4 linked regions of the Caenorhabditis elegans genome follow. The protein of the gene in region 1 purifies or fractionates together with the protein of each later gene. This does not show direct contact. Each region holds a gene or a part of one and is shown in the gene's direction. Other genes may lie near its edges. The genes, in order: alg-1, hsp-16.1, rack-1 and lin-41.

Region 1 (10,915 bases):
GTGGAATATGTAGAGGGCGCTCTTCTTGCAACTCGCAGACGTTCAGAGACAACACAACCGTTTTCCCTTTTTGCTTTTGTGTGTGAGTGTGCATGATTACTCTACTCTATGATTAACTCGTCAAGGGATTTGATATATCACTACTCTTCATCTACTAATTAGAAAAGCTTTCGTTTATATAATTGGACATTTCACAAGATGATTTAATGAACTGACTTAATGTTTTTTTTAAAGAAATAATTCATTAACAAAAATGTACACACAAAAATATTCTGGAAACTCTCAATCTGGAAAAATTGAACAAAACGATATAAATTTTCGGAAAATGTCAAAGTCTATTTATCATAACTGCTTGATAACAACAAAATGACAGTATTCTTCTGACTAACATATTCCAAAACAGAACATGTTTCATTTTTTTACTTGCTAACAATCTGATAGTCCGAAAAAAACTTTTCTTTCTAAAAATAACCTATCATGTGGAGTATGTAATGTGACCGTGTAGTGCAACAAGTCACAAAAATTTATTTTTCCTTACTGTTTTTTTCTAAAACATGCTGAAAACGTGTCCTTGTTTTTTTTGCAGAGAAAAATTCGACTTACACCACTTGAGACGGGCCTAAGAAGTCTGTTTTTTCGAGTGTCCACTGCATGTAGGGTTGGTTAATTATCGGTGTGATAATTGATGCTTTGAATTGATATGGGCATTTTCGATTCTTTCAATCGATAGTGTTTTTTATTTCTCGAACAGCATTAGTTGACAATGTTTTAGCTTACACTGAACTTTTTAATGGTGTGATGTTTCCCTATTTTCTTTCCCTATATTTAATATTTTAATACACCTGTTATTATCAAAATATTAAAAAAAAACTGTCACCTCAAATTTGAATCCTGCCAAGCCCGCGAAAAATTCCCTCTCGATTTCGGATACAGAAAATTTGCTCGAATCGAGAGATGAGAAATTTGGGAGATGCTGGAATCAAATAAGACTCCGCCTACTTCCTTTTAGTTTTCCGCCGGACACTTCAAAAATGAAAAGAGTGGGTAATACCTGGCGGCCGACAACCCACGGGTTCCGTGCCTCGCTATAAATTAAGTAAATTAAGCCACACCCATTCAGTTGGTGTGTTTTTGAAGGGCGTGGCTTAATTTACTTAATTTATAGCGATGCGCGGAACCCGTGGGTTGTCGGCCGCCAGGTATTACCCACCCTTTTCAATTTTGCGGTGACCGGCGGAAATCTGAAAGAAAGTAGGCGGAGACCTTTTTGATTCCAGCATCTCCCGAATTTTTCATCTCTCGATTCGAGCCAATTTTCGGCATCCGAAATCGAGAGGGAATTTTTCGCGGGTTTGGCTGGATTCAAATTTGAGGTGACAGTTTTAATATTTTGATAATACGTTATAACTTAGATTTCAATTTCAAAAAATAACAAGACAGTTACATTTTTGTTTCCATAAACTTTTTTATAAGCTTTTTTATTTCTTGACACTTCATTTTGTATACTTTTGTGTAACATGTCAAACTTAAGAGCACTATCATATTACACCTATCACTCGTTAATTTTATATTTTTCTTATCGTAGTTAACATGCATTCCGTCACCGCTTGTCACCGCGTAGTCTTTGCATTTTGTGCTGTCCGGCGTCGCTCACTAGACGTGCTAATTATTTCTAGGTACTATATATTTGTCTAAATTGTTATTTTTACTTAGCCGGTCGACAAATGCTCAACAGAACCGTCACACCACTTTTTATTTTAGTTTCTCTGTGTTTCCTGAGGGTCACTTTGTTACAGTTAGCTTTGCAACCAGTTATATTGTCTGATAATCGAACGTTTATCAAGGAAAGGTCAGGCGATTTTTATATAAAACACAAAAATAATAGAAAAAAAGAAATATGCCGATGGCATTGAGTGGGTGTGTACGGAACAAATATGGGTAGCGATCAATGGCTGACCTATATTTAGTGTTACGAATCAGCAATCTATGATCACTGCTAATTGGAAAATTACAGTTTTTCACTGAAAAAATTCAAAACGATAAATGAGAATGCTCATAATTTCAACCATGTGTTTTTTTAAATAAAAGTTTAAAGAAAAATAAAAGTGTCATACTGTACATAATATGCACTTTTATAACTGTTTCCTCATCAAAAAATATTACCCAAATTTCATAAAACTTTCATTCATGCTTAAAATTTTTTGATTAGTGCAAATATACTTTCCACTTTTGTAAAAATTATCAAATTATTTACGGAAGAAAAACCACCCCCTTGGGTATCTTTTAACGAAACTTGGTTTTTAAATTGTTGGGTCTGTTAAACTTTTTAATTTTCATTGTCATCGTTTCTAAGTCCATTCCAAAACTGTTCATGTTCGGTGTCAGGCACGGCACTACCCATAAACATGAACCTTAACCCTTGACGGGACAGACGGGAGGCCGCTCATAAAATGCACTATACTGCTCAAAGCATCTCTCTCCCCCCGCTTCTCTGTGTCTCTTGGACCATTACACATTTTCGCTGGTCTAATGCCAGGGCAGCCTCGTCCAGTTCCAATAGGTCCTTCTGCCACTCTTCCTCTTTCTTTCCCTTTTACTAACCACCATCTGCCGTGGTTTTCGTTGGCTTTCAATGGCGTGTGCGGCCTAGAACCGTCTTGTACTTTTCAGTATTCATAGATTAGCTGATGGAAAGAGATTATCCCGACCATTATCGTTTCTCATTTTCAGTTTTAGTGCTTGAGAGGATTTAGTGTTTCGTCTAGATCAGGAAGTTCACAGATGCACTTTATTCTTTATTGAAAGATCTTTCGAATTTGCGGAAGTCGTTATTTTGAATTAATCTTGAAAATGCTATTTTTCAAACAGAAATGTATTAGCTTCCTTAAACTATTCATACAAGTTGAAAAATTTTTCAAATACATAGCTGATAGTTTGATTTGTTATTAAATATGCTTCGAAGATTTTAAAAATGACCATTTTTAAACAGTTTGTAGTTATTCAAAACATTGGGCTCACATACCATACAAAGTTTTCAATATTCTAAAGTTTTTATTTTAATTTTGAGTAAGACACCAATTTTTTCTGATGTGTTTTCACAAATTGGTGATAAATTTGAAAATTACGGCTAACTTCCCAGCAACACTTCCTTCGCATTGAATTCATTTTTTGATCGTGTTCATTCCGAATTTTGTTTTTCAGTTTCTGTTCTATTTTGCTTTTTCCTTTTTCCTTCTCCATTCCCTCGTTCACCTTCCCCCTCTTTCTTCCCGAAACATCAATAATTTTCAGAGAAACCTCAAGAAAGTCTCTCAACTCCACTCGTGGCATATGCACTTCAGACGGTGTAGCTGACGACGAGTTTAACATCATTCAGGAATCTAACCAATAGCAATCACTGAGAAAATCATCATCAGCAATCGGGCCAAAATCAACTTTCTCCTCTTCTACTACTATTTGTTCAACTCTTTCTTCTCCACTACCCCTGCCAACTCGAAGAGACGAATCTGTAACCGACTGACAACACCGACGTCCTTCTACCTCCTTCTACCTCTTCCTTACCCTTATTATTGCTTTAAAAGGATACAATAACTAAAGGAACCAGAAGCTTCTACCGCTACTCTTCCCATCTCACTGACCCAACCCAGCGCTTTCAATCCCTCTCATGGCTGCCGAACTGAACAACACCAACACAAATGGTAAGCTTATTTTATTATTACTTATTCTTAACATAAACATCTGTACTAAAGAAGTTATCATAAGATTTATTTCTAACAATTTTTCCTCTTCCATTTTTCCACCAAATCTAATTGCACTTTCCGGGAGATTAATATTCAATCTGAAAAGGTGTCCGGCAACATAATTCCCTGACTTTAACATCAAACATTTCATGAGACTTTGCCATTAGAAAATATTTGTATTCACACATGTGTATAATTTAAAATATTCATTTGTTCACTTTTGGGACAATCCTGTATGTGTTCTTCAATAATGGAAATAATGTTAATTTGCATTAAAAATTGAGAAAGAAATGCCAAGTGTAATTTTTGATATTGAGAAAAATATGTATATTTCTTCAAGATTTTCGACACCACAGAGACTTGATAAAGGTCTTGAAAATAATTATGAGTGTTTTTGAAATGCGAAAAACTGTCTGTGAGAACGTTGATAAATATACTGAAAATAGTGTTTAAAATCAAGTTTAAAATTTTAAAAATTGAGATTGAAAATCGAAAAATATCCAAGTTTCAACATTTCTGAGATAATAAATAAAACTTTTTTGTCAAAGTTCTGATTAGTCTGTAGAAATTTCACTTGGCATAGAACTTGTATGAAATAATTTTCAATAGACTTTCAAATTATGAGAAGTGAAAACTTTCTGTTGACCCTCCTGGCAACAAATAAGCAACTTTTTGGAAATTGTTTTCTATAATATTTAGTGATTAAATAAGTGATTTTGAACAACCTTATGGTGCTTCTCCAATTTTACTATAATTGTTATATTTTTCTAATATTTATGTAGGAATCCTTTCAGAATGAATGGATGAATTAACTACTACTACCAATTTTGCGCATTTAGTTTTTTTTGCAATTCTCAAAATTGTGCCAAAAACAATTCTAAAAATTCTAAAAATCCACATTCACATTCACGACAGTATGCAACCAGATGTGGTGATTTTTACAACCAACACCTTCTCTTTTTGCCTCTCAAATTTCACTTTTGTTTGGAAGCCCTTCTGTTTAGAGTTTATGTCACTTTTCAACTCATACTATTTCCATACGAAAAGTCCGTTGTCTATCTCTCTGCGTTTCCTTCTAATCGCAAATCTATTCCACCCGATCGGACAACTGACCCACATCGATATGTTTAATCGCATCGGCTCTCAGCACTCCGCGCGTTTCTCTCCCTTTCTCTCCACAGACCATCTTTTTCTTTGTTTTGTGAGTCGATCCAACCCGCTCCCGGCAGCCTGCTTCCCCCTGTATTTGGTAGTTTCCAACTCTCTCTCATTTTGCTTGTTCCACTCGCCTCTCTCGCGACACACTATCTCTGCCGTCTCCTGATTTCGCATAGTCTCTTGTTAGTGTACAATAGCGTATAGTACTGGCCACCGAATGTCTGCGTCTCTTGATCTTTCGGAATGCATTCTGTCAGCGCCCGCTTGCGCAGCAGTCCGATTTCCGATTCGTCGTGTCCTCGTCGTCCAGTCGCCGTTGCGTCCTCCTTTGACGTCGCTGCCCGACACTGTTTTACTTTTCTCTTTCTCTTTTCCTCCACCCCGTACCTCACACGAACAACCTGTCGGTTTCCAATCTATATATCGATTTTCTCTTTTTTAAGTTTTGGGTTTGTCTGCATTTGTAGAATTTTTTTCCAAAAATGCATGACGATCTATAAAAAAACCTGAACAATCATTTCACAATACATTCATTTCAGAGTCGTCTAACGTCGCCTCAAACGACCCAATGTCCGGCGGGCCGCAATATTTGCCAGGAGTCATGAATTCTACCATTCAACAGCAACCACAGAGCGCAACATCGTCGTTTCTGCCAAGTGGACCGATTAGTTCGACGTCCACCTCCTCGCAAGTTGTTCCAACATCTGGAGCCACCCAGCAGCCGCCTTTCCCGTCGGCACAAGCGGCTGCGTCAACAGCGCTCCAAAATGATCTAGAAGTAAGTTTTCATCGTTTAAAAACGCAGTGTACACATCTGATATTATCTTGTTATTAGTTTGTAATAATTTTTAAATCTTTGAACTTACACATTGTATTTCAGGAAATATTTAATTCTCCGCCTACTCAGCCACAAACATTTAGCGATGTTCCTCAAAGACAAGCCGGAAGCCTGGCTCCAGGAGTTCCCATTGGTAATACAAGTGTCTCAATTGGAGAACCAGCAAATACACTTGGAGGCGGTTTACCAGGCGGAGCACCGGGACAATTACCTGGGTAAGAAATTTGAAATGTTATGAACTAATACGGTATAATCAAAAAAAAAACCCCCGTGAGAAGCAATAACTGGCAATCATTAATTTTTGATTTCAAAAAAGGGATTTTCGAAAAAATGTGGAATTTTTAAATGTAAATGTTTTCAGCGGCAACCAGAGTGGTATTCAATTCCAATGTCCTCGACGCCCAAACCACGGAGTTGAGGGTCGCTCAATTCTTCTTCGCGCCAACCACTTTGCAGTGAGAATTCCTGGAGGAACTATTCAACACTACCAGGTCGATGTTACTCCAGACAAGTGCCCAAGAAGAGTTAATCGGTAATCATTATTATTCCAAAATGAACTAACTTATTAATTGTATCAATTTTCAGCGAGATTATCAGCTGCTTGATAAGCGCATTCTCCAAGTACTTCACTAATATTCGCCCTGTTTACGATGGAAAGCGCAATATGTACACCCGCGAGCCCCTTCCAATTGGAAGAGAACGTATGGATTTCGATGTCACACTTCCTGGAGACTCCGCCGTTGAGCGTCAATTTTCGGTTTCTTTGAAATGGGTCGGACAAGTTTCTCTCTCCACTCTGGAGGATGCCATGGAAGGAAGAGTTCGCCAGGTTCCATTCGAAGCCGTTCAAGCTATGGATGTCATTCTTCGTCATCTTCCAAGCTTGAAATACACTCCTGTCGGACGTTCATTCTTCTCGCCACCAGTTCCTAATGCTTCTGGAGTCATGGCAGGATCATGCCCTCCCCAGGCTTCTGGAGCTGTCGCAGGAGGTGCCCACTCCGCTGGACAATATCACGCCGAGAGCAAACTCGGGGGTGGCCGTGAAGTCTGGTTTGGATTCCATCAGTCGGTTCGCCCATCTCAGTGGAAAATGATGCTTAACATTGATGTCTCTGCGACTGCTTTCTATCGTTCCATGCCAGTCATTGAGTTCATCGCCGAAGTTTTGGAGCTTCCAGTTCAAGCTCTTGCTGAGCGTCGTGCTCTATCTGATGCTCAACGTGTCAAGTTCACCAAGGAAATTCGTGGTCTCAAAATTGAAATCACCCACTGTGGACAAATGCGCAGAAAGTATCGTGTCTGCAACGTCACTCGTCGTCCAGCTCAAACTCAAACTTTCCCACTTCAATTGGAGACTGGTCAAACTATTGAGTGCACTGTCGCCAAGTATTTCTATGACAAGTACAGAATTCAACTCAAATACCCACACTTGCCATGCCTCCAAGTTGGACAGGAACAAAAGCACACCTACCTGCCACCAGAGGTGTGCAACATTGTTCCAGGACAACGTTGCATCAAGAAGCTTACGGATGTGCAGACATCGACAATGATTAAGGCTACAGCTCGTTCTGCTCCAGAACGTGAGCGTGAGATTTCCAACTTGGTCCGCAAGGCCGAGTTCTCAGCTGATCCATTTGCTCACGAATTCGGAATCACCATCAACCCAGCAATGACTGAAGTCAAGGGACGCGTTCTTTCTGCTCCAAAACTTCTCTACGGTGGACGCACTCGAGCCACCGCTCTCCCGAATCAAGGAGTTTGGGATATGCGTGGAAAACAGTTCCACACTGGAATCGATGTTCGTGTCTGGGCGATCGCTTGTTTTGCTCAACAACAGCATGTCAAGGAGAACGATCTCCGCATGTTCACCAACCAGCTTCAGCGGATTTCCAACGACGCTGGTATGCCAATCGTCGGAAATCCATGCTTCTGCAAGTACGCTGTTGGAGTCGAGCAGGTTGAGCCAATGTTCAAGTACTTGAAACAAAACTACTCTGGAATTCAACTTGTAGTGGTTGTTCTCCCTGGAAAAACTCCAGTTTATGGTATGTAATTTGTTTTTTTTGTTTATTTCTGATTATTTATTTTCTAATTTTTCAGCTGAAGTTAAACGTGTTGGAGACACAGTTTTGGGTATCGCCACCCAGTGCGTGCAAGCCAAGAACGCAATCCGAACAACTCCACAAACTCTTTCTAATTTATGCTTGAAGATGAACGTAAAGCTTGGAGGAGTCAACAGTATTCTGCTTCCAAACGTACGCCCAAGAATCTTCAACGAACCAGTCATTTTCTTTGGATGTGACATCACTCATCCACCAGCAGGAGACTCTCGCAAACCATCCATCGCAGCAGTTGTCGGCTCAATGGATGCTCATCCTAGCAGATATGCTGCAACCGTCCGTGTCCAACAACATCGTCAAGAGATCATCTCAGATTTAACCTACATGGTCCGCGAGCTTCTTGTTCAATTCTACCGCAACACTCGCTTCAAGCCAGCCAGAATCGTTGTCTACCGTGATGGAGTTTCTGAGGGGCAATTCTTCAACGTTCTTCAATATGAGCTTCGCGCGATTCGCGAGGCTTGCATGATGCTTGAAAGAGGATATCAACCAGGAATCACTTTCATCGCCGTCCAAAAGAGACATCACACTCGTCTCTTTGCTGTTGATAAGAAGGATCAAGTCGGAAAAGCATACAATATTCCGCCAGGAACTACTGTCGATGTAGGAATTACCCACCCAACCGAGTTTGACTTCTACTTGTGCTCTCATGCTGGTATTCAAGGAACATCTCGTCCATCCCATTACCATGTTCTTTGGGATGACAACAATCTGACAGCCGACGAACTTCAACAGCTCACATATCAAATGTGCCATACCTACGTCAGATGCACACGATCCGTTTCAATTCCAGCGCCAGCATATTATGCTCATTTGGTAGCGTTCCGCGCTCGTTATCATCTTGTCGATCGCGAGCATGACTCTGGAGAAGGTTCTCAGCCATCTGGAACTTCCGAGGATACCACCTTGTCGAACATGGCTAGAGCTGTGCAGGTAATATTGGCATTTAATTTAGTTTCTATTTGAAAAAAATTAAACACTTTAGGTTCATCCGGATGCCAACAACGTCATGTACTTTGCTTAAACTAGGAATCTGCCTAGGAATCGACTTCATAGATAGCTATTACTCACCAACTTGCTCTAACAGAAGACGAGTATTGAATATTGTCATGTCTACCTAATATCTATCTTGATAATTCTGTGTCTTTATCTGTATCTGTATCTCCATTCAAATTGATTTCAATATGCTACAATGTTATAATGTTTTTCTATAATCGGACTCTTATGTTTTCAAATTCCATATTTAATTTGTAATTCTAATTGCCGCTACCTCTCGTGTAACTGTTTTCTTTCTTCCATCCATTTTTCACTTCCCACAACCAAAATGCCTTTACTTAGTGACTTTTCCTCTCATCCTGGTAGCCTACAAAGCTTCAAAACCCATTTAATATCCTTAATATTTTTCCTCGCAGTTGATTACATTGTCCAAATGCACTGCTGTCGTCTTTCCACCTTGTAACCTCCGAGAGCACCGAGCACTACGACTCCTCTCTTCACACTCACATCTTCTCGCTGAGCAATCATCTTGAAATGCTTCTTTCTTCAACTTACGGGCTTGATCTGTCAAATTCCTTCCAATTTCTCATCGCCTACAGTAGTCCTAGTTGCGTTTGATGTTGACCTATTCGACTTCCTTCCCCAAACAACCATTAAAAACATTACGAGAATGCTGATGTTTTCTCCGCAAAATAGCCGAAATTTGGGCTAGATTTTACTCTGCGCTCCTGGTGAGTCTTGTATGTTCTTGCACTTCAAATCCACACGTATGTGGCAGTTTATGGCTTTCAATGCTGAAACACATATACTGATGGACGCCTGGAACACTTGACCACCCATCAAGACGTGATCGGTAAAATTTACTCTGGGTGTCTTCTATTTTCGTGCAGAGTTCTGCATTTGTTATGGCATTAACTTCGTGATTGTTCACTTCACTCACATATTTGAAAATTCTGACGCAATATTTATCACCTTCAGTTGAATATTTTTGCATTGTGCTACAATCTTTCATTTTTTCTTGAACTCTCAATACCCTGTCATCAAAAAAATCACCAATATATCTTGTCAAGTGCATCTTTCCAATTGATTCTTTCTTCATTCACTCTCTCACTTTCTTTCTTGCAAATACTAATTTTTAGGGTTTTTATTATTTACAAAATTATTGTAACATTTAATTACTCTAACTTTAGGATTTAATCTTCAGTAAATTAACTTACAATTTTCCAACCCAAAAAATAATATTAAAAAACTCCCCTCTTCACTTCATTTCCACAATTTGTCATACTTTCAACATCTCTACCTGACGTCCCCTAAGCTCTTATATTTTTGATCCAGCTGCCTAACTAAAAAAAACTCGCTCTCAACCTCAACTTTTGTGTCTTACTGTATTTCCAAACAAACCCTTTTCTCTTTCAAAACCCTTTCCCACTTCCCCCTGATCCTGATGTCTGAAAGTCTTCCCCCCACCCCACCCACAGAAAACCTTTTTCCGCATTTGTGTTGTAATTTGCATTCTCATGCATTTTGTACAATGTGTGATTTTGTTTTTTTTCTTTGCAAATGAAGCGATGAGGGACCAAAATTTGTTATATTTTTTTTGTAAAAAATTTTCAGAATGCTTGAACCCTGGGTATATGAATATCTGATGTTCAGAATCCTTCAAAAAATCTCAGACCGGCAGACAATATGGATGTTGTAAATGAAACAACTGAAGTCCGAAACGAGGATTTCATATGTAGTGGCAACCCCTATGATCTGGCTGCTAGGAATAGCTCATTGGAATGACGATGTTTAATATTTTTCTGCAAATGAGTACAAAACACATATGAAAATTGGAAATTAAACAAATGCTTACATCTTTAACTCTGAATTATAGCAGTTTGAAAAATCACAAAACATTCTGTGACCTCTGAAACCTTCTTTTAAGATTTTTTTTTCTATTTCAGAGACAAATGGACAAAAAACTCAATAATTTTTGGCAATCTATATGCTATAAATTCAAAAATTGTGTCATAATTTTGTGGATCCCAACTCATCCTGAACAGATTTCCATAACTTAA
Region 2 (6,211 bases), on another chromosome or scaffold:
TGTTTCCAAAATCAACCCTGTAGTGAACTCCATATTAGTAATGGAATATGGGGTTTGCTTCAACTTTCTTTTTTGGAAATTCGACAGTCTACCAAAACTTTGATTGAGCGTTTTTAAAAGCAGTTAACAATTTTTCGCTCGTTTCATAATGAAATTTTGTCATTTCAGCTGATCATAAATGCATTTTAACAGGGACTCCTACGGCAACGACTTCGAGTTATAATCGCGATCAGATAGAAAACTGTTTGAACGTTCTGCTACTGAAATTGACGTACGTTTTACTTGAAACTGATTCGTTATGCCAATTACTATTGAAAACAGTATTAATATATTTTTCAGGGCCGCGCGCACGCAGCCCCGATACGCAAAAATTAAGCTGTTGGCGAATCTCAACTCGAGACTGCCACACAGGTCAGCCCATCCAAAAGTGCAATGGATAGGCCTCACCATGGGGATCCCGCCTTCATGATCGCGAGATAACCCCCAGCCAGGTAAGTTTAAGAAGTGGCGGTAAGAGAGGGTAAGGGTGTTGTATAGCATGACATCTGGCGGGTTCCGCGGAGCAATGCAGAATGTGTTAGGATGGGAGGGGCTGTGCAATACCCAAAAATAGGCATTATGCAAGAAGTACATTGCCGGCATTTACATATTTATTACTAACTTTCAAAAAATATCACAAATTCATATTATTTTTAAATTTTATTGAAACAGAATACTGGAATTTATAGTAATTACATGCATAGTTCAAAAAAATCATAAAATTACAATAATTATTCAGAAGTTTTTTGTTCAACGGGCGCTTGCTGAATTGGAATAGATCTTCCTTGAATCGCTTCCTTCTTTGGTGCTTCAATTGAAAGTTTTCCATCTTCTGAAAGATTTGAAGCAACTGCACCAACATCAACATCTTCGGGTAGAAGAATAACACGAGAAAATGATTTCTTTGAATATCCATGTTCAGTCTTTAATTCTTGTTCTCCTTGAATTGATAATGTATGTCCATCCAAATTAATTTTCAAATCTTCTGGCTTGAACTGCGAGACATTGAGATTTATGGCAAACTTTTGATCATTGTTAACAATCTGAAAGAAATCTTTTTTATACAAACTCTTGAAAAAAAAACGTGTTACTTACCTCAGAAGATTCAGATGGAGAGCCTCTGCAAACTGGAGTAAATTGACGTTCCATCTGAGCCATATCTCTCATGAGATCACCAAAAACAGAACGTTGAGCTGGACGGAAATAGTGGTAAAGTGACATGATTGTAGTTTGAAGATTTCACAATTAGAGTGAATGTTGTTTGGTTCGGTTTTGTCACTGTATTTATACTCATTTCCACCTTTTTCTAGAACATTCGAGCTGCTTCTTGCAAAAGGAGGGCGACTCACATTCAGAACATTGAGAAATAGTGTGCGTACTGAAGAAACCCAGATACTTTTTCAATCTGCGTCTCTTTGCACCTATGGGGTGTATTTTGAAATGAATGCATCTAGGACCTTCTAGAACATTCTAAACGGCTGCAGGATACGGGTATATAAGCCAATCGTGTTCAGAGGAAACCAATACACTTTGTTCAAGTGCTTACTGTTCATTCTCTAAACTTCAAGAATGCTCATGCTCCGTTCTCCATTTTCTGATTCAAATGTTCTCGATCATTTCTTGGATGAAATCACTGGATCTGTTCAATTTCCATATTGGAGAAATGCTGATCACAACTCATTCAATTTTTCCGACAATATTGGAGAGGTAAGAAAATAATCTCTTTTTCAATTGTTTATTTGTCAAATGTTTTATTTTTCAGATTGTAAATGACGAATCTAAATTCTCTGTTCAACTCGATGTTTCTCATTTCAAACCAGAAGATCTTAAAATTGAATTGGATGGAAGAGAACTAAAAATTGAAGGAATTCAAGAAAAAAAATCAGAGCATGGATACTCGAAACGATCATTTTCAAAAATGATTCTTCTACCAGAAGATGTTGATTTAACTTCTGTCAAATCTGCAATTTCGAATGAAGGAAAACTTCAAATTGAGGCTCCAAAGAAGACTAACTCATCTCGTTCTATTCCCATTAATTTTGTTGCAAAACATTAATCTTTTATTGTATTCCAAATATTCTTAATTTCAATAAAGTCATTAATTTAATTTATTCATGTTCTCTAGCATAACAAAAACATCAAATCCGACTTTCCAATTCAAATATTTCAAAACAACATAACGGCTCAACTTTACAGCATACTCATGCTACGTTTTACCAACCGTTAAACGTTTAGCTATAAAAATTCCTGCATCGTTTCAAACGACTTTTGCAACTTTTTCAAAATTCAGTTTTTCAGCTTAATTTCGCTCACAACTGTGTTGATCAACTGCACCTTTATAACAGCTTTTGACAGTTTTTAAGTGTTTTTATCAAGTCGCAGGAGTTTTCTGAGAAGCCGAGTAGCTGGTAGCTTAAAATATTTTCTGATTTTTCTCTTGAAGAACCTATTTTATGAGGGCCCTGTAGAAGTTGCACGCACTGTAATTTTTTTAAAACATTTTTTATGTTTTTTGTTTTAAGCATAAATTCAAGCTAAAACATTTATTGAGACTAATAAATTTTTTGCATAAAAAGTTTCTGGAATAACTTCAATTATGTTGTTTTGAAATATTTGAATTGGAAAGTCGGATTTGATGTTTTTGTTATGCTAGAGAACATGAATAAATTAAATTAATGACTTTATTGAAATTAAGAATATTTGGAATACAATAAAAGATTAATGTTTTGCAACAAAATTAATGGGAATAGAACGAGATGAGTTAGTCTTCTTTGGAGCCTCAATTTGAAGTTTTCCTTCATTCGAAATTGCAGATTTGACAGAAGTTAAATCAACATCTTCTGGTAGAAGAATCATTTTTGAAAATGATCGTTTCGAGTATCCATGCTCTGATTTTTTTTCTTGAATTCCTTCAATTTTTAGTTCTCTTCCATCCAATTCAATTTTAAGATCTTCTGGTTTGAAATGAGAAACATCGAGTTGAACAGAGAATTTAGATTCGTCATTTACAATCTGAAAAATAAAACATTTGACAAATAAACAATTGAAAAAGAGATTATTTTCTTACCTCTCCAATATTGTCGGAAAAATTGAATGAGTTGTGATCAGCATTTCTCCAATATGGAAATTGAACAGATCCAGTGATTTCATCCAAGAAATGATCGAGAACATTTGAATCAGAAAATGGAGAACGGAGCATGAGCATTCTTGAAGTTTAGAGAATGAACAGTAAGCACTTGAACAAAGTGTATTGGTTTCCTCTGAACACGATTGGCTTATATACCCGTATCCTGCAGCCGTTTAGAATGTTCTAGAAGGTCCTAGATGCATTCATTTCAAAATACACCCCATAGGTGCAAAGAGACGCAGATTGAAAAAGTATCTGGGTTTCTTCAGTACGCACACTATTTCTCAATGTTCTGAATGTGAGTCGCCCTCCTTTTGCAAGAAGCAGCTCGAATGTTCTAGAAAAAGGTGGAAATGAGTATAAATACAGTGACAAAACCGAACCAAACAACATTCACTCTAATTGTGAAATCTTCAAACTACAATCATGTCACTTTACCACTATTTCCGTCCAGCTCAACGTTCTGTTTTTGGTGATCTCATGAGAGATATGGCTCAGATGGAACGTCAATTTACTCCAGTTTGCAGAGGCTCTCCATCTGAATCTTCTGAGGTAAGTAACACGTTTTTTTTTCAAGAGTTTGTATAAAAAAGATTTCTTTCAGATTGTTAACAATGATCAAAAGTTTGCCATAAATCTCAATGTCTCGCAGTTCAAGCCAGAAGATTTGAAAATTAATTTGGATGGACATACATTATCAATTCAAGGAGAACAAGAATTAAAGACTGAACATGGATATTCAAAGAAATCATTTTCTCGTGTTATTCTTCTACCCGAAGATGTTGATGTTGGTGCAGTTGCTTCAAATCTTTCAGAAGATGGAAAACTTTCAATTGAAGCACCAAAGAAGGAAGCGATTCAAGGAAGATCTATTCCAATTCAGCAAGCGCCCGTTGAACAAAAAACTTCTGAATAATTATTGTAATTTTATGATTTTTTTGAACTATGCATGTAATTACTATAAATTCCAGTATTCTGTTTCAATAAAATTTAAAAATAATATGAATTTGTGATATTTTTTGAAAGTTAGTAATAAATATGTAAATGCCGGCAATGTACTTCTTGCATAATGCCTATTTTTGGGTATTGCACAGCCCCTCCCATCCTAACACATTCTGCATTGCTCCGCGGAACCCGCCAGATGTCATGCTATACAACACCCTTACCCTCTCTTACCGCCACTTCTTAAACTTACCTGGCTGGGGGTTATCTCGCGATCATGAAGGCGGGATCCCCATGGTGAGGCCTATCCATTGCACTTTTGGATGGGCTGACCTGTGTGGCAGTCTCGAGTTGAGATTCGCCAACAGCTTAATTTTTGCGTATCGGGGCTGCGTGCGCGCGGCCCCGAAAAATATCTGAGTCAGTTGGCATGGCTAGTGGTTTTATTTGTATAGTGTAATTTGTTTTGGCCATTTCTATTTAAACTTTGCAGGAATTGGAACATGGATAGCTTTTAATTTCTCAAAAGTTTTTTTTTGTTGAAAATTTGGCAATTTACAAAAGTTTTAACGAAATCTTTAAAAAATCAAACTAAGTTAAACGGTCCGCGGCCATCATTTTCAGTACAGACAATTGTAAGAAATGTTTGTATTCTTAAAAATCCCTATTTGCTTCGTTTAAATATCTTTTCCAGATTTAAGAATGTCTCAGAGATCAATAAACATTGTAACTGTGATCCGAATGATCGTTGGACACTCGTACACCCATTCCATGTTTTTACAATCCATCGTAAATGTAGTCAGTTAGGCATTGACCAGGTAAGACTTGAGTGCTTGACTTTAGAAAACCAGTGATATGATATGAGATAATATTCCGGTTTTTCAACACTTTCGTGTTATTCTCCCTTTTTCTGCAAGCAAAAATCAGACACTGGGCAGTGAATGATGGAATAAGTTCCCAAGTTTTTAATCTTTATTCTTTTTTTGAATGATCAATCTGTCGAAAGACATATTCCCTGGTTGTTGATTCGTTTCTAATAGGATTACTGTAGGTTCAGTGAAGAGTAACGAGTCACGAGTAGGTTTCCGTTCATCTATGGAATAAATATTCGTTTGACGAAAAAGTTCGTGGTATCAACACTATTAGTTGTGATGAGTCATCACTTTGTGATACTCTATCACTCCCTAAAACAATTTGATGGTCTTCTAAGACAATCACAGACTACAAGTGAGATAACAGATAAGTCAATGTATGACCGTCTATAAAGGAAGGATTAAAGCTGGTAGAAAAACTCGTTTTTTGGTGTGTAGTCGACCTAAAAAAGAACGCATGACAACAAGGCACTGAAAAGAATGTTATCTGATGAATATGATAGAATGAAATGAACGTCTTGTGCTTTAGACTGGATCACTTTTTCCAAACGGCAGAAAGCCTTACGTCACAAAAATAAAAGAGAAAGCTAATGTAGAATGCAATAAGGAAGGAATGCCAGCTATGAGAACTCAAATTGTTCAGCAGATTAAAATAATTGTATTTAATGTGATCTGCACTTTTCAATCCGTTTATCATGTGATGAATTGAAAATGATGATTTTCCTAGAGACTACTGTACAGGTTAGAGATAATGTAATATTATGAATTACAGAAACTTTTATTGATCTTCAACAAAAAAAAAATAATAAGTGTATTCCATTCAAAATATCATTTTAAAAGTGATGAAACTTTTTCTCATTCGTTGAAAATAGTTTTTAATACCACATTTAATTTATTAAAACAGAAACCATTCAGAAAATTCAATGCAGAATTACAGTCAGTTGTAATACATAGAGCCCAAATCATTTTTTGTCCCGTACTTGAAACTCGATTATGAATATGCAGTTATTTTTTATTTAAAATAATTTTTAATATTGCATTTCTTTTTTCCCCATTTTCCTTACAAAAAAAAGTATAATTTTTTATAAAACGCGGTTTTATTTTTTTGCTTGAAAACAACTTTTTTCGAAACAAGTGTTATTGTTGTTCAGACCACATTCAAAACGATTATTCTGTTATCTTTTTCATTGAATCCCTTTTTTCTTGTGATTATTTACCAGACAAGACGTCG
Region 3 (6,856 bases), on another chromosome or scaffold:
AATATCAAATTTTCAGGCAATTTCTATTAGTTTTTCCAGAAAATGTTATTTTTTCAGATTTATAAGTAAAAATAAGAATTAACCGTACTGATTTTCAAATTAAACTTTTTTCGCTTTCAAAAATTATTAGTTTCCTCATTTTGATTACCCATCAACGAAACTTTTTAATTTTCGGAAAATCGAAAAATATTGTTCAAAAAATTAACAATATAAATTTTTAAAAAATATTAAAAGTTAAAAAAGACCAACATTTTAAGCTATTTTTTTAAAAACCTTTAAAATGTGTTTTAAATTCTATTAGTAGATTATTGAAAATTTCGTGAATTATCTAGAAAAAAAATATTTTAAGTCATTACAAACTGTATGAATCAAAAATGTTGTCGAATTAAAAATAATAAAAAATTCTGATTACATTTACGAAATATCAAATACAACGCTTTTTTTGTTTTGAAAATTTTGAAAAAAAAAATTTCATATGAATTTTAGTCTATGAGAAAGATAAGATGTTCTTCATATTTTAAAATTTTAAGTTTTTCAATGAAAAAAACATCTTTTTGAGGGGAATTGTATTTAATTTTTCCCTTTGATATTTATGTTTTCCGGGAACAGAGTCCGAATCAGTTTAAAATTTATTTTAGAAAAACTCACCGAAAAAGAATATATTGTGCTGGATGCCTTTCATATCGAGCAGTTTTACAGAGAGCTTTCAATGGACCTATAAACAAATTACTGAAGGTGTCGAGCTGCCGCAATTGCTCGTATACATTTCGAATATCCTGAAAAAATAATTAATTACATAATTTTAAAGTGGAATATTGATTTGTTTTGAAAACATTTTAATCCGAAAAAAACTTACATCTGGTGTCCTTAAATGCGGTGGTTTAATGAGGGATTCGTAAAAACGAGCATCATTGACTGGATCCTGTCGAGGTTTCCGAGGATCCATCTGATTCTCCTATAAATATAAAATATCTAGATTGTTAGTTTTTTCGAAGGAAAAATATAAAAAATAAAATTTCGGGAACCATAGTAAGGCAAAAAGTACAAAATGTAAATTTTTTCGTTGAACAGAAGCCATGTGGTCTTCCATTCAGATTAAGACGGCAAAGAGAGAGTAAGCGAAAGAGGACGAGCGTTCAGATAATCTCATAAATCAGCATGTAATGGGGTGAATGGGGCGGAGAAGGAGGAGCTCGGATGCTTCTTTTGTGTTTATTTATGTGAATAGAGAGGTAGAAGAATATGTATATATTCATCCCCAAGAGATGTTAGAGGATTTGCAGATTACTTTTAGATTATTAATGAAGATATGAGAATATAAGAGACGAAAAGTACATGAATACAACAATTTTTCTAAAAAATCACGAAGGCACTATCAACTAACTGATTACTCCTTACAATGATGATATTTAACAATTTTTGCAACAATCTAGAAGTACCGCATGACAATACCAATTGAAAATTGTTAATTGTTAAAATGGGAGTCACATATAAAAGAAAAACTAGGACATTTGTAGTGAAAATGTACAGCTAGAAGGCATAACTTCTGCCACTCCCGTTCTTAATCAAAAATTAGCCTCGATTAGTGTCTTTATGAAAGTTTCGATTGTTCTGATCATCTACAACTGAAAAAAGGGTCCCATCCAGTCAGTTACCACCAATTGAATTACAAAGTGATAATGATGTCGTCGTGTGCCGATAACAACGTCTAATCTCTATTACTATCAGAGGTTGATTATAAACAATCAGGGGCACTAGACACAGGAAAGAAAAGGATGCAAAAGTTGTGAAGAAGGGAATCAAAGTCTGAGGGGGGGGGGGGCGATTAAACGGGCGGATAGTGAATGCGGCGGCCGCACACACACATAGGGACGGGCATTTGGAGGAATGTGACTAGGAACAACACAGAGGCGAAGAGGACAAGAAATAAATCGGACAGTCTGTGTAGAGGCAAGAAATTGGAGGAGGAAAAGGCGAGGGACGGTGCGGAAAAGCACCGCCAAACCACTGCGAACCGATCAATAATACAACGGAAGGTGCTGCGAAGAAATAAGAGAGGAACGGAAAGTTGAGACGCAGGTTGATTGGGTTAAAGATTGCACTGATTGCAGAGAAGACAGAGAATCGAGTGAAGATTGGCTCAGGAAAGAGTTGATTGTTGACATTCCCATTGGAAAAAAACAGATATCGAAAAAATGTCTAGGAGCAAAAAAATATTTTTCATTATGGGAATTGTTGTGATGTTATTGCTATTGCAAGGTTCTGTTGTTGTATTGAAAGTCAGCTAAAAAATGGGGAATTATTGAAAATATATTGTATTCAAAAATTCTTCAAAATAAAAATGACTTTTTTGAATGAAAAAAAAACTTTAAAATAGTGATGTTGGCATATCAACGTAAAATTTAAGATGAGAAGGTATTAAACATTATAAGGAAACAACTCGAAGATTTTCAAGCACATACCAAAGTTTTCACGGACAATTGGCCAATTTCTACAAGAAGTCAACATTTTTGTCGCTTCGTCAATTTGAAACCCATAAAAGCATGACTAAGCTGACAGGAATTCCACGAAAAAGCAATAGATATGCGCAAAGAACTAGTCTCGTCAGATTTTTCTGGCAATATCTCATGCAGTAATCTTAATATGTCTTGCACACATGCAACCCCGGATGCTGAAATGTTAAACTTTAAAATTCGAGCTCGACACGATGAATTTGAATGGATGGAGAATAATTAGAACTAAACCCACATTACATTGATTTTAATGTAAAAACTAAAGTATTTTTGCTTTTAAATGAGAAAATAATAATTTTTCGAAGAAATCAAACCAGTTTTCAGAAATATTAATTTTAAGGCTCAAATAAATGGCTCGCTAAACTCGAAAACAACTGTCACAATAAAAGCTAAACATAAATAATTGAATAAATAAATAAGTAAATTTAAAAAAGTGTCAAAAACTGCTTCATAGATGCAAATTTACAAGAAAAAGTTAATTTGTTCCGTAAATTCGTTAGTTGGCAAAGTGCCAGGTTAAAGGCGCATAGACTTTCGCTGTGGGGTCTCGCAGCGACTCACCCCTTCTCCTCTGCTGCTGGCTGGCTAGTTTGACGCGAATTTTTAGGACGATTTTTCCTTTTTTCTGTATTTTTCTGTTAAAGCAATGATTTTTTCAACATTTTCAACATTTAATAATTAAAGTGGCTATGTTTTTAACATAATTCGAACAAAATTATGGTTTTCGTTCGCTCTATTCTCCAAAATTTTCATTTTTTTATATGGAACATTTTTATTTTTAGCAGATCGAACGGGGTTACACAGATAGCAAAATGGTCCAAGAGCAAATGAAGCTTACCGGAACCCTCGAGGGTCACACCGGATGGGTTACCCAAATCGCCACCTACACCCGCAACGACAAGACCACTGTCCTGTCATCTTCCCGCGGTAAGTCAATTAATATAACGTTTTCAAATTTATACTCACATTTTTCAGACAAGACTATCCTTGTTTGGGATGTCGACAGCGTTGCTCCAGTCGATGAGGGACCAATCGGTCGCCCAGTTCGTTCGCTCACTGGACATAACCACTTCGTCTCTGACGTTGTCATCTCCTCCGACGGACAATTCGCTCTTTCTGGATCCTGGGACAAGACCCTCCGCCTCTGGGACCTCAACCAGTAAGTAATTCAATAAAAAAACATTGTGCAAACAATTTTATAGGGGAGTGAGCACCCGTCAATTCATCTCCCACACCAAGGATGTTCTCTCTGTTGCCTTCTCTGCTGACAACAGACAAATCGTCTCTGGATCCCGCGACAAGTCCATCAAGCTGTGGAACACTCTTGCCCAGTGCAAGTACACCATCACTGTACGTTTTTTCAAATTCTTTTATAGGAAGATTTATCGAAACTATTGTTTAGGATGATTGCCACACCGATTGGGTTTCCACCGTTCGTTTCTCTCCATCGAACCGCGATCCAGTGATCGTCTCCGCAGGATGGGACAAGGTTGTCAAGGTCTGGAACCTCGGAAACTGCCGTCTGAAGACCAACCACATCGGTCACACCGGATACGTCAACACCGTTACCGTCTCTCCAGATGGTTCCCTCTGTGCTTCCGGAGGCAAAGACGGACAAGCTATGCTTTGGGACCTCAACGAGGGCAAGCACTTGTACACCCTTCCAGGAAACGACGTCATCAACGCCATGTCCTTCTCTCCAAACAGATACTGGCTCTGCGCCGCTGTCGGATCTTCCATCAAGATCTGGGATCTCGAGGACAAGAAGGAGATCGAGGAGCTCAAGCCAGAAATCGCCAGCTCTGGAAGCTCAAGAGGATCCAGCCCACAGTGTATCTCTTTGGCCTGGTCTCAAGACGGACAAACCCTCTTCGCCGGATACACCGATAACATCATCCGAGTGTACCAGGTGTCGATCCGTGCTTCCAACTAATTTGTTACCTGTTAATTCAAAACCCTTCAATAAAATTGTTGATATAATTTTGTATTCAACCATGTCAGATAAATTATTCGCGTTAATCAAGAATATCTAGCAGATGATAAAACAGCAAGGTATACTTGTTATGTTAGAGATGACGGATCGTAATGAGTTGATCGGTGTTGCAATTCGAGTAGTGGCGGCGGCTGCAGTTTCATTTCTATCAGTGCGCTATCTAGTCAAGTACTTGGATCCAAATTATAGTGTGAATGAAGAAAGCAAAAAGAAGGTTTGTAGATTTACAACACTAATTTTGTTTTTTTAATATACAGGTGGCACAGCTGTTTCATGAACTTGGTATCGATCGTCAAATAGAACTCTCAGAGCACGAAATTAGAATCGCCACGCAGTTTGTTGGCGGAGAAGACGTTGGAGCAGATTGGGATGAGATCGGTAGAACAGAAAATTGTTTCGCAAAAAAAAAGAAAAATTTTACAGGTGGCTGCGAAGAACTTGTTGCTGAACTAAAGGATCGCATTATTTTACCCTTGAGATTCGCATCGCAAAGTGGAAGTCATTTATTGTCTCCTCCACGTGGAATTCTTCTTTATGGACCACCCGGATGTGGAAAAACTCTTTTAGCGAAAGCAGTTGCAAGGGCAGCTGGATGCCGGTTAGTTATTCATAAATGCAGAATTGACCTGTTTTAAATATTGCTACCTTTCAGATTTATCAATCTTCAAGTGTCAAACCTAACTGATAAATGGTACGGAGAGTCTCAAAAACTTGCGGCCGCTGTTTTCTCTGTTGCTCAAAAGTTTCAACCAACAATTATTTTCATTGATGAAATTGATTCGTTCCTCCGAGACAGACAATCTCATGATCACGAATCAACAGCAATGATGAAGGCACAATTCATGACATTATGGGATGGATTTTCTAGTTCTGGAGATCAAATCATTGTTATGGGAGCTACAAATCGTCCACGAGACGTTGATGCTGCTATTCTACGCAGAATGACTGCAAGATTCCAAGTTCCAGTACCAAATGCCAAGCAAAGAAGTCAGATTCTTAATGTGATTCTCAGGAATGAAAAGATCAATAATACTGTAAATCTCGGAGAAATCGCACAGGCAGCAGAAGGTCTTAGTGGAAGTGATTTGAAAGAGGTTCGTGCTTTTTTTCTTTTTAAAATTTTAATCAAATATATTACATCCCCGAAATGGTCGTAATATTATTAGTTCGCTTTGTGGCTATATATGTCACATATATTCTAGTGGAATTCGGTAACGAAATATTTAATATAAATCTGTTCAACATGAAAAATTGTAGACAATAATATATCTTGGATTTCCTATAAAATCCAATACATTTTTAACATGAATTAATAGTGAAACAGCAAATAAGTATATGTGTTTTTATTGAAAACTACGAAAACTCGATTAAACTTTTGCAACAACGAGAGTTTGAAATTACAGTACTCTTTAAAGGTACACACCTTTTCATAGTTAACATAAAATTTCGTGTCGAGAATATTTGGGGCAGAAATCGCAAAGTTTTGCGAGCTTCATGAGAATAAATTGCTGTTTCACAATTAATTCATGTTTCTAATGTGAAAAATGCATTGGATTTTAAAGGAAAAATGTAATTTGTAATATGATAAAATGTAATATAATTGTCTACAGTAACCTTAAAGGAAAAAAAAATACAAATAAAAACATTAGTGAAGAGAATTGTATATATTTAATACAAGTTGTTCTAATAGTGAGCTTGAAAAAACTTACAATTTTGAATTTAATTTTAAAAAAACTCATTTAAATTATTTCAACTTCTTCCAAAATCATCTAAAAATATTTAGAAGTTAGATACACAATAATTAGCTTAAAAAATAATACGCGTTCGAAAATTTTAAGTTTTTATGTTACAGGAAAATGAAACGCCAATAATCGTGTTGTTATGTAATTTTTCAGGTTTGTCGTCTTGCTCTTCTCGCTCGAGCAAAAGCTACTGTAGCTTCTGGAGGTTCCGTAAATCAACTTCTTCCATTGGAACAGTCCGATTTTGAGTCAGCAGTGCATAAATATATGAGAGCCGCACATTTACTTGTTGAAGAAACACTTGATTAGTCTTAAAAGTTCAAGAAACGAATGTTTTATTTCATGTAAACTTCTATTTCTTTTTCTCTAAAAGTAGTCCATTCGTTCTTGTAGGTCTCAATTTATTATACCTTTTTGTAGTATAAAGCTAAAGAAATGTAACGGTGCTTTGACTTAAAATCGAAAATCTTTTTTTTTATTCCCCGGAGCTTCTAGAACAGATTCAAAAACTAATATTTCTGATTCCTGATTTTTTACTTCCCTATTCTTATGTATTGCATTGATTTAATAAGTACGTTTAGATTACCGGTTAGATTGTATTCTCTTTT
Region 4 (8,303 bases), on another chromosome or scaffold:
GAGGCCTTGCACTTTTGGCACGAAATTCTGTTTTTGCGACGACGGCGCGGCGGAGAAGATCACTGGGGGTGAGAGGGGAACACTGAATGGAAAAAAGAATGAGAAAGAGAGAACAAACTAGAGACACGCAGAGATCAAAAGCACTGAGCCCAGTGAAAGAGAAACACTTTGGTCTCTTCGTCTTCCCCTTCTTCCCCTTTTTTCCGCAAAAAAAAAAGAGTTTTCACTCTTTCTCTAACCATCTGTCCACTCTCGTGCAGCCTACCCCCAGCAGTCCTTCGGCGCGGCGCTCACCCCCAGGTGTGTAGAGAGTGGGAACGACGAAGAGACTACAGACATTTGGGGCGCCTGGGGGAGACAGCGGGGCAGCCTAGGGGTGGAAATTTAGAGAAATGGAGAGGAAAGAGGGGAAAAAGACTTCTACACACACACACAGACATACACACACTTTTATCGTTCCCACCGTGTTCAATGTCCCATAGGTTTTTGCGATTTTTTTTTCAAAAAATGAATTGAAGTTACTTCCAATGTATATCTGTTAGAATCTGTCTTGATATGAAAAAGATATGTCACGCCCCTTTATGATATTTTGAGACTTTAGGTCAAAAGGTCACAAGTTCAATAAGTCTTAGAAATAAAAATCAGTAATTGAAACGAAATTCATGAAACTTTGCTTCCAGATATCCGGACATGTAATATTTAATAAAAATTAGCAATGAATAGTTAGACATGTATCTTTTATATGGTTCATCCAGAACATAATTCGTACAATATATTGGTTTTTGCTACGTGGCCTAGAAAGTCCAAAAATTCGGCCAGTGATTCATCTTTAATTTTTCACTTCAGAACTTTGTGAAGCTTGCCGACCAAGTTATTTCAACGAGCAGATTTTCGAGAAAATGACCATAGCTCCTTTTAGGAAGGTGGCCGTGTTTTTGTATGTCGCGGCCACATAGTAAAAATCACTCGGTGTAAAATGTGATCCTAAGACAAATTCCAACTTTAAGTTTTTGGCCTGGAAAACCTAGAGAATTGTCCAGAAAACTCCTACAATTTCGAAAAAAGGGGCGTTTTTGTTTATTTTACTTTGATTAATCCAACGCGAGATGTTTATTTAGTTAGTGTTTTTCGCATTCTTCAATTTTCGCTTCCCGGTTTCTATTGCTTCGATTAAATCCCTGTAAAGCTTTCACAAAGCCTAAAATGTTTGCCATTTCCATCACTTTTTAAGGAGCTGCTCAAAAACTTACTTCCGTATTGAATTTTTTGGAAGGAAAAATGTTTCAGATTTTTTTGTTTAATTTTTTTTGAAAATTTATCGAAAAAACAAATTATGTCGCAAAAAATGTTTGGTAAAACAATTTTTGAGATAGAGAACCGTACCGTAATCCTTAAAGGCGCATAGTCGGTTGGAAAAATTTTGTGTTCGTGACGAGACCCAACACATAAAATTACGAGTTTTCATCTAAAAATAAGTGTTTTCAGTGAATTCTTCTATCAAATAAAATTTTAACAAATTTATTACAAAAAACTCTTTAAAAATATCTTCAGATACATTCAAATTCATTTCGCCCCGTATTTTCAAGGAAAAATCGATAAGCTACCGTAACCCCATTTGTTTTATTATTTTATTGTCGCATCATTTTTCGATAATTTTTGAAAAACATTCAATTAATATATTTAAGTCTCGTTTTATTTCAGGCCACGGTTGGCGAACGGGTAAAAAGGAAGAGCCGATCGCCTCGTTACTCAAGGAAAAGGCTCGACGTCGCTGGAGGAGGGAAAAGTTGGTTTTTTAGGATAAAAACCAACTTAAAGTACAAAAAGAGCCGGAAACGGCGGGAATGCGACGTTGGAAACGATCGTGATCTTGAATAAAGGTGAGGAACTTTTAAATAACAAAGCAAAATGCGAAAATATATTAAAAATTAAAAACGTCGAAAAAAAATTAATAAAATTTTTTTATTCGAAAAATTTTGACCTACCACAAATTTTTTGACTACTTAATTTTTTGTTTTTTGTTTTTATTTTCGAATATTAAATTGAAAGAGCGGCATTTTTCTGATTTTCCCATCAAAAATCCTTGTCATCAGCAGCCCTCGGGCCATTTTTCTCTCATTTTGTTCCATTATTTTCATATAAAAAGTGCACTTTTTTTGTGCTTCACTGACTTTTTTGTTCGATTAATTGTTCCATTCGTTCTGAAAAGTCAAAAAATTCATAAGTATTCTAATTGTAGAGTCATCGTTTGCCCTTTCCACTGATAATTAATCAACCTTTTCAGACTTGGAAAAAGTGAAATGGCGACCATCGTGCCATGCTCATTGGAGAAAGAAGAAGGAGCACCATCAGGACCTCGTCGGCTTCAAACTGAGATCGACGTGGACGCCAACGACAGCGGAAACGAGCTGTCGATGGGCGGAAGCAGCAGTGAAGGTAACACTTGAAAATTGAAAAAAAAGCTTCCAACGAAACAACTTCAGGTGACTCAATGTCCCACCATCGCGGTGAGCATTCACCAAACCATCATCATCAGGATAATCATCTTGGCTCGGGACCACCACCACCACAGTTCACTGGCTCACTATTTGACACTCCACCGTCAATGATTCAGTCACCACAGCAGCAACCACAGTTCCAGTTCAACACTGGATTCGGACTCGGACTCCCGCAAGACTCCTTTCGGTGCTCAGTCTGCTCCAAGAGCTCGACGATTGGAGTGCTGCCGTTCGTTTGTGCGCACAAGTGGGGTTTCAAGACAAATTATCAAAATGACAATTATTTTTAGAACGTGCCAATCATGCTACCAGATGACACCGTCCTCGTACGATCGACGGGGTAAATAAATATCTCAACTTTCTGTATGATTTATGAATTTTAGCTTGCAAGCTGTGTGGTGCCGTATCGACAGCCACCGCCAACTTTACATCGCAGATGTACCTGTCTCCGACGCTTCCATCACCGCCACGTGGAGCTCTGATGTCGGATTGTTCGACACCAACGATGAATAATCACATTAATTGTATGTTTTAATTCTCAATTTACACCGAAGAATAACCCAAATTCCAGCATCAACTCCACTTCATCAACCTCGTGCATTCTCATTCTCACTCAGTGGAATGCCTGGATCACCGTCTCCAGTGATGGGTGCACGGATGCCATCGTCTGCTGGTGGGCTCATGATGCGTCCAATTGGATTCCCCGACTCGGACAGCAGTTTGACATCATGGTCTCCATTGCAACAACCATCACAGCTTTCTATCAATAATCTGTCGAGCATCGGAGGACACCAGCAACAATCGCCGATGTTGATGCAAAATGTGTTTGATTCGTTGGCAGTGGTCAGTTTTTATCAAATTTCAAACAGAGAAAAGTACAATTTTGTGGAGTGTGGAGCTATAAACAAATTCAATTTCCCGAATTTATGATGTTATATATTATGTGGTCGCAAATCGAAAAATGGTTCAATTTACGGTTTCGCCGTCAATACCTAACGAGACCCAACTTCTGGGGGTGGACCTCGATTAAAAAATGAGCATTTTTCTACGGCCCCATAATATTTCAAAAATCATTTTTTTCGCAAAAAAAAGTTAGCATTTCTCTCTTCCCAAGAAACATATTTTTCTCCCTGGCTTCAATAAGTTCAATAAGTCTTTTTTCTAATTTTTTTTGCTAAATGCGCCCTCCTGCGAGCTGAAATTGCACCTAATTCCTCGTATTCTTTACAGAACGATGATACTCCTGTATTCTCTCCACTCTCTCCAACGAATACTTCAATGCATATGCCACCATCATTGATGGCATCACCAGATGTTCCAAAACATTCTGCAACCATAGCTCCACCACGTAATTCCATGTGCTCGACGCCACGTCTTCAATTGGCAACACCAATGTCTTCACAATCACAGCAAACTTTTCCAATTCCTTCACCACTTGGATCTCAGCCACAACAACAACAGCCAATGGGTCCGATTCAATGTCAAGGATGCGAATCGAAAATGTTAGTTTTCCCCTAAAACTTCAAAGATAATTAAATTATATTTAAATTTTTCAGATCGTTCGCCTACTGTATGCAATGTCAGGAAGCTTTGTGTATTCATTGTGTTCAAGCTCATCAGCGTGTTCGAGCCACCAAACAACATGCGTTCGTTGAGCTTCAGCAGTTGATGGCTACTTTGGTTAGTTTTTATCTTATCGTGTGTTACTACACGCTTTTTGCGTCTCAACACGACAATTATTTTTTTGGAAATTCATAAAAAGTATGCGCCTTTAAAACGTACTGTAATTAAACTTTTCCATTGTTTTTCATTAAATATTTGTATATTTATTTATCGAAAACCTAAAATTAAAAATTAAAACCATAAAAAATCGATGAAAATTCACAGCTACAAAAATTTGAAACTACAGTACTCTTTAAAGGCGCACACCTTTTTGTAGTTTACAAAAATTGACATTTTGAGACATGATACCGTAGTTTGGGAGCAAAAAATAATATATGTGGTCTATATTAATATCACCTTGATCCGTTTCAAGATTCTCCACGTGCTTGATGACGTGAATCGTTTGTAATCAGGAATCATAAAAAGAGTACGCAATAATCATAAATCAATGACTCCTGTCAATCAAGAAAAAACACAGAATCAGTACTTTTTTGGTGTATTTTTCCGTTTTTAAATGTCTTATCAGTAACTGATTGCAGGATTAGAACACAAAAATTGGCTGCCGACCGTTCCACTACATTAGTAAAACTTCTTGAAAATAACTTTTTGAAAACTATCAAGGAAAGTATTTCAGCTCACTTTTAGATTTTTAAATGAAACTTGTGTCAGCAGTTTCACATTTTTCAAACAAAACCAAGTTCCAAAAAGCTCCCAGAGTGTTTGCTTACCTCCAAACACCATAAACATCACCAAAAGCTTGCAAAAATCCACATTTCGAAGAAAACAATTTACTGAAAGCAGTTTCAGAGCTGAAATACTTTCCTTACAAGTTTATAGATTTTTCTATCCGAATATGTCCACGTACTAGGAAATTCCCATTTTTCAACATCCAGGCGTTCGTTTCCCTTTTTCTTCTCCTTCAACCACCTTTTTTCGCCATTATTCACAAGCCAGTCGGAGGGCCAATTTAGTGCCGAGAGAGAGAGAGGTGTCTGCTCCTCATCCGGTGCTCTTTTTGCACTATAGTATTATTTTTTGCTCGGCGAACACGTAATTCCTCTAAAATCTAAAAGTATTATTTTCAGATGAGCCGTGCAGTTCAACCACAACAAGCACAGCAATACACTCAAAATGTTGGAGGATCAGTTCGTCAAGCACTTGGATCAGTTGGAAGTGGAGATGGTATATGAAGATATTCTACAGTAATTCAAACTGTTTCAGTTTTCTTTTCAGGACATGTGTCTGGCGTTGAAAATGATTCAATTGGCAGTGGAGAATCATCACCTCGAAGCTCTTCTGTGTGTGGAACTCATGATTCAGTAATCATTGGAATCTGTGAGAATTGTCCTCATTCAGTTCTATTGTGTGCAATCTGTGTTGCTCAACATCCTGGAAAGCATCGAGTTCAGCCACTTGGAGATATTCGAGTTGCTGTTGGAGAAGTTGTTAATGAGAGTCAATTATTGCAATGGCAATGTGAGAAGACTGGTGATACTATCAAGCAGATTATCGATGGAATTGTTACAAATGCAACGGTAATTTTCATAATTTTCAGTCCGATGCGTTTTGTTATTTAAAAATAGAGTTTGGATCTATGGTGTCATCAAACTTTTTCATTCGATTTTTGCAGAGAAAAAAATTGAAATCGAAAAAAAAATTTAAAAATTAGCAAAAACAAACTATTTTATGAAATTTTATGTTTTTTAGTGAGAAATCGAAAAACTGACTATATAATCTCCACAATTTTCAGACCGCTGAAAACGAGATTCGAGCCGCTTTCGATACACACGTCAACGCTTTGGAGGAACGACGAAAGGAACTACTCAAGAGGTTTATTAATTTCAAATCTGCAATCACTAAGCTTTTCAATTAATTTCAGGGTGGAGACAGTGAAGAATCTGAAACTGTCAGTTCTCATTTCACAAGCAGAAAGTCTTCAATCAAAGCAAATTGATTTACAACAAGCAATTCAAACTGCAACAAAGTTGATGGATAGTTCTGATTGTGATGAGATGGTTCTTCGTCAAGTATTTGAAAAGTTGGCATCGTGCCAAATGGGAAATGAGGGCACCGAGCCAAACAACAATATTTTGAATGTATTGATGTTGGCATGTCAGGTGAATGAAGACGATCGACTCAAATTCACAGCTCCACAGGATGGAATTCTTCTTAACAAAGCTCGACAATTCGGAAATATTGAGAGTGGGCCATGTGCCAAGAATAGTTCAATTGTCGGAGACTCTTTTAAAAAGTTAGTTCAGATTTCAGATATATGGAAATTTTTTGTAAATTTTCATAGAATTGTATAAAATTATTGCTATTAAAATTTTTTTTTAATCATAGAAAATTTAGATAATTTTTTTACAGTTATAGGGAGGACTTTTTTAATGTGGTAAAGTGCATCAGAATTTGCAAAATCGCGATTTAAATTTTAGAATCATAAATAAAGAAAAATGGAAAAATTGGTCGCGTTACAGTAACCACTTTTTGTCGCAATTCGAAATTAATTTTTGTATTTTTTTTCAAAATCAGAGTGAAGTTTGCGGAAAACCAAACATGTGAATCATTTTTATAACAAACAATTATTTTTATTTAAAAAAAAAAATTTCAGAGCGATTCGTGAGCGTCAAACAGTGATCTATGTGCAACTCCGCGATGCATGTGGAGATCTGTTGTCTTCATCGATTGCTGCAACTCAACCAACATCCCAAGCACTTCTTCCTCATCAAGAACCACATTCCCATTTGGAACAAGCTATGCCAACTTCTGATGTACAGGCTTTTGTCATTTCACCAGATGGATCAACTGTAGAGGTCACAATGACGTATGATTTGACTACTATTTCCAAAAAAACACAATAAAATTTCAGACCCCGTGAGAATGGAATCGTCGCACTCTCGTATTATCCATCTATCGAAGGATCCTACACACTGAATATTCTTGTCAAAGGAACTCCAATCAGTGGATGCCCGACAACAATGGATATTCGACGTGGCAGGAACTATGATGAGATTGCAGCAAAAGGGCCAATTCTGACATTCGGAAAAGAAGGATCCGGTGACGGAGAATTATGTCGTCCATGGGGAATATGTGTTGATCAGAGAGGACGTGTTATTGTCGCTGATCGAAGCAACAATCGTGTTCAAATATTTGACAAAGATGGAAATTTCATCTCAAAGTTCGGAACCAGTGGAAATCGTCCAGGACAGTTTGATCGTCCTGCTGGAATAACTACCAATTCTCTGAACAATATTGTGGTGGCTGATAAAGATAATCATCGTGTCCAGGTATTCGATGAAAACGGAATGTTCCTTCTCAAGTTTGGAGATCGTGGACGTGCTGTTGGCTACTTCAACTATCCATGGGGAGTTGCCACGAATTCTCATAATGCGATAGCCGTCTCGGATACTCGGAATCATCGTGTTCAGATCTTCACACCACAGGGACAATTCGTTCGCAAATGTGGATTTGACTCCGCCTACTTCTTCAAGAACTTGGACTCGCCACGTGGATTGTGCTATCTGCCAGATGGACAATTACTCATTACGTATGAGAAAATATTAATATTTCCTTTAAAAACCTTAATTCTTTCAGCGACTTCAACAATCACCGACTCGCAGTCCTATCGCCCAGAAACATGTCAGAGATGAAGGTTTACGGAAGTGAAGGAGATGGTGATGGAATGTTCGTTCGTCCACAAGGAGTTGTGATTGATCCAGAGGGACATATACTTGTATGTGACTCTCGGAACAATCGAGTTCAAGTCTTTGCGTCTGATGATATGAGATTCATTGGCTCATTTGGACTTGGACCCGTCCCCAATTCTGGGTTCCAAATGCCACAAGAGCTACCGGCTCCGTATTCGGTTAGTTTTTGATTTCAAGAAATGTTTTTGTATTTGTACTTTTCAGTCTCTCGGTGGTCCATTCGGTGCTCCAGCCTTTTCATCGGCTCCAACTCCACTGACTCCTTCACCACGTCAGCTTCTGGATCGTCCCACTGATTTGGCAGTTGGACCTGATGGTCGCATATACGTCGTTGATTTCGGAAACAATTGCATCCGTGTCTTCTAGACACTTTCTTCTTGCTCTTTACCCATTTCAGATTGTTTTTTAAAATAATCTTTTGATCCCTTGATCCTTC

The links.
Region 2: the proteins of alg-1 (region 1) and hsp-16.1 purify together in Caenorhabditis elegans (affinity purification with mass spectrometry, with the first as the bait; 2 studies listed by BioGRID). This does not show direct contact.
Region 3: the proteins of alg-1 (region 1) and rack-1 purify together in Caenorhabditis elegans (affinity purification with western blotting; 2 studies listed by BioGRID, with this or other methods). This does not show direct contact.
Region 4: the proteins of alg-1 (region 1) and lin-41 purify together in Caenorhabditis elegans (affinity purification with western blotting; 2 studies listed by BioGRID, with this or other methods). This does not show direct contact.

The regions. Positions count from the first base shown.
Region 1 is NC_003284.9:13,945,825-13,956,739, forward strand, and holds alg-1 (Protein argonaute-1), read left to right. Parts: upstream 1-3,664; coding exon 3,665-3,698; intron 3,699-5,437; coding exon 5,438-5,676; intron 5,677-5,778; coding exon 5,779-5,951; intron 5,952-6,097; coding exon 6,098-6,268; intron 6,269-6,321; coding exon 6,322-7,784; intron 7,785-7,839; coding exon 7,840-8,792; intron 8,793-8,844; coding exon 8,845-8,883; downstream 8,884-10,915.
Region 2 is NC_003283.11:9,085,164-9,091,374, reverse strand, and holds hsp-16.1 (Heat shock protein Hsp-16.1/Hsp-16.11), read left to right. Parts: upstream 1-3,592; coding exon 3,593-3,718; intron 3,719-3,770; coding exon 3,771-4,082; downstream 4,083-6,211. Other genes in the region: hsp-16.11 (Heat shock protein Hsp-16.1/Hsp-16.11), read right to left, coding at 771-1,082, 1,135-1,260; hsp-16.49 (Heat shock protein Hsp-16.48/Hsp-16.49), read left to right, coding at 1,609-1,746, 1,802-2,095; hsp-16.48 (Heat shock protein Hsp-16.48/Hsp-16.49), read right to left, coding at 2,758-3,051, 3,107-3,244.
Region 3 is NC_003282.8:10,173,385-10,180,240, forward strand, and holds rack-1 (Small ribosomal subunit protein RACK1), read left to right. Parts: upstream 1-3,295; 5' UTR 3,296-3,325; coding exon 3,326-3,440; intron 3,441-3,488; coding exon 3,489-3,672; intron 3,673-3,715; coding exon 3,716-3,863; intron 3,864-3,915; coding exon 3,916-4,446; 3' UTR 4,447-4,491; downstream 4,492-6,856. Other genes in the region: pxf-1 (Rap guanine nucleotide exchange factor), read right to left, coding at 649-776, 857-946; mspn-1 (Mitochondrial sorting homolog), read left to right, coding at 4,586-4,720, 4,764-4,884, 4,930-5,104, 5,159-5,600, 6,402-6,557.
Region 4 is NC_003279.8:9,335,895-9,344,197, reverse strand, and holds the start of lin-41 (Protein lin-41), read left to right. Parts: upstream 1-1,701; 5' UTR 1,702-1,880; intron 1,881-2,284; 5' UTR 2,285-2,300; coding exon 2,301-2,436; intron 2,437-2,483; coding exon 2,484-2,745; intron 2,746-2,788; coding exon 2,789-2,838; intron 2,839-2,881; coding exon 2,882-3,022; intron 3,023-3,069; coding exon 3,070-3,341; intron 3,342-3,728; coding exon 3,729-4,000; intron 4,001-4,054; coding exon 4,055-4,178; intron 4,179-5,245; coding exon 5,246-5,342; intron 5,343-5,381; coding exon 5,382-5,695; intron 5,696-5,910; coding exon 5,911-5,990; intron 5,991-6,039; coding exon 6,040-6,411; intron 6,412-6,771; coding exon 6,772-6,984; intron 6,985-7,029; coding exon 7,030-7,707; intron 7,708-7,754; coding exon 7,755-8,025; intron 8,026-8,071; coding exon 8,072-8,233; 3' UTR 8,234-8,303. UniProt on the Caenorhabditis elegans protein: Heterochronic protein which acts downstream of let-7 in temporal patterning. Plays a role in the developmental timing of postembryonic hypodermal seam cell division and fusion events and adult alae production.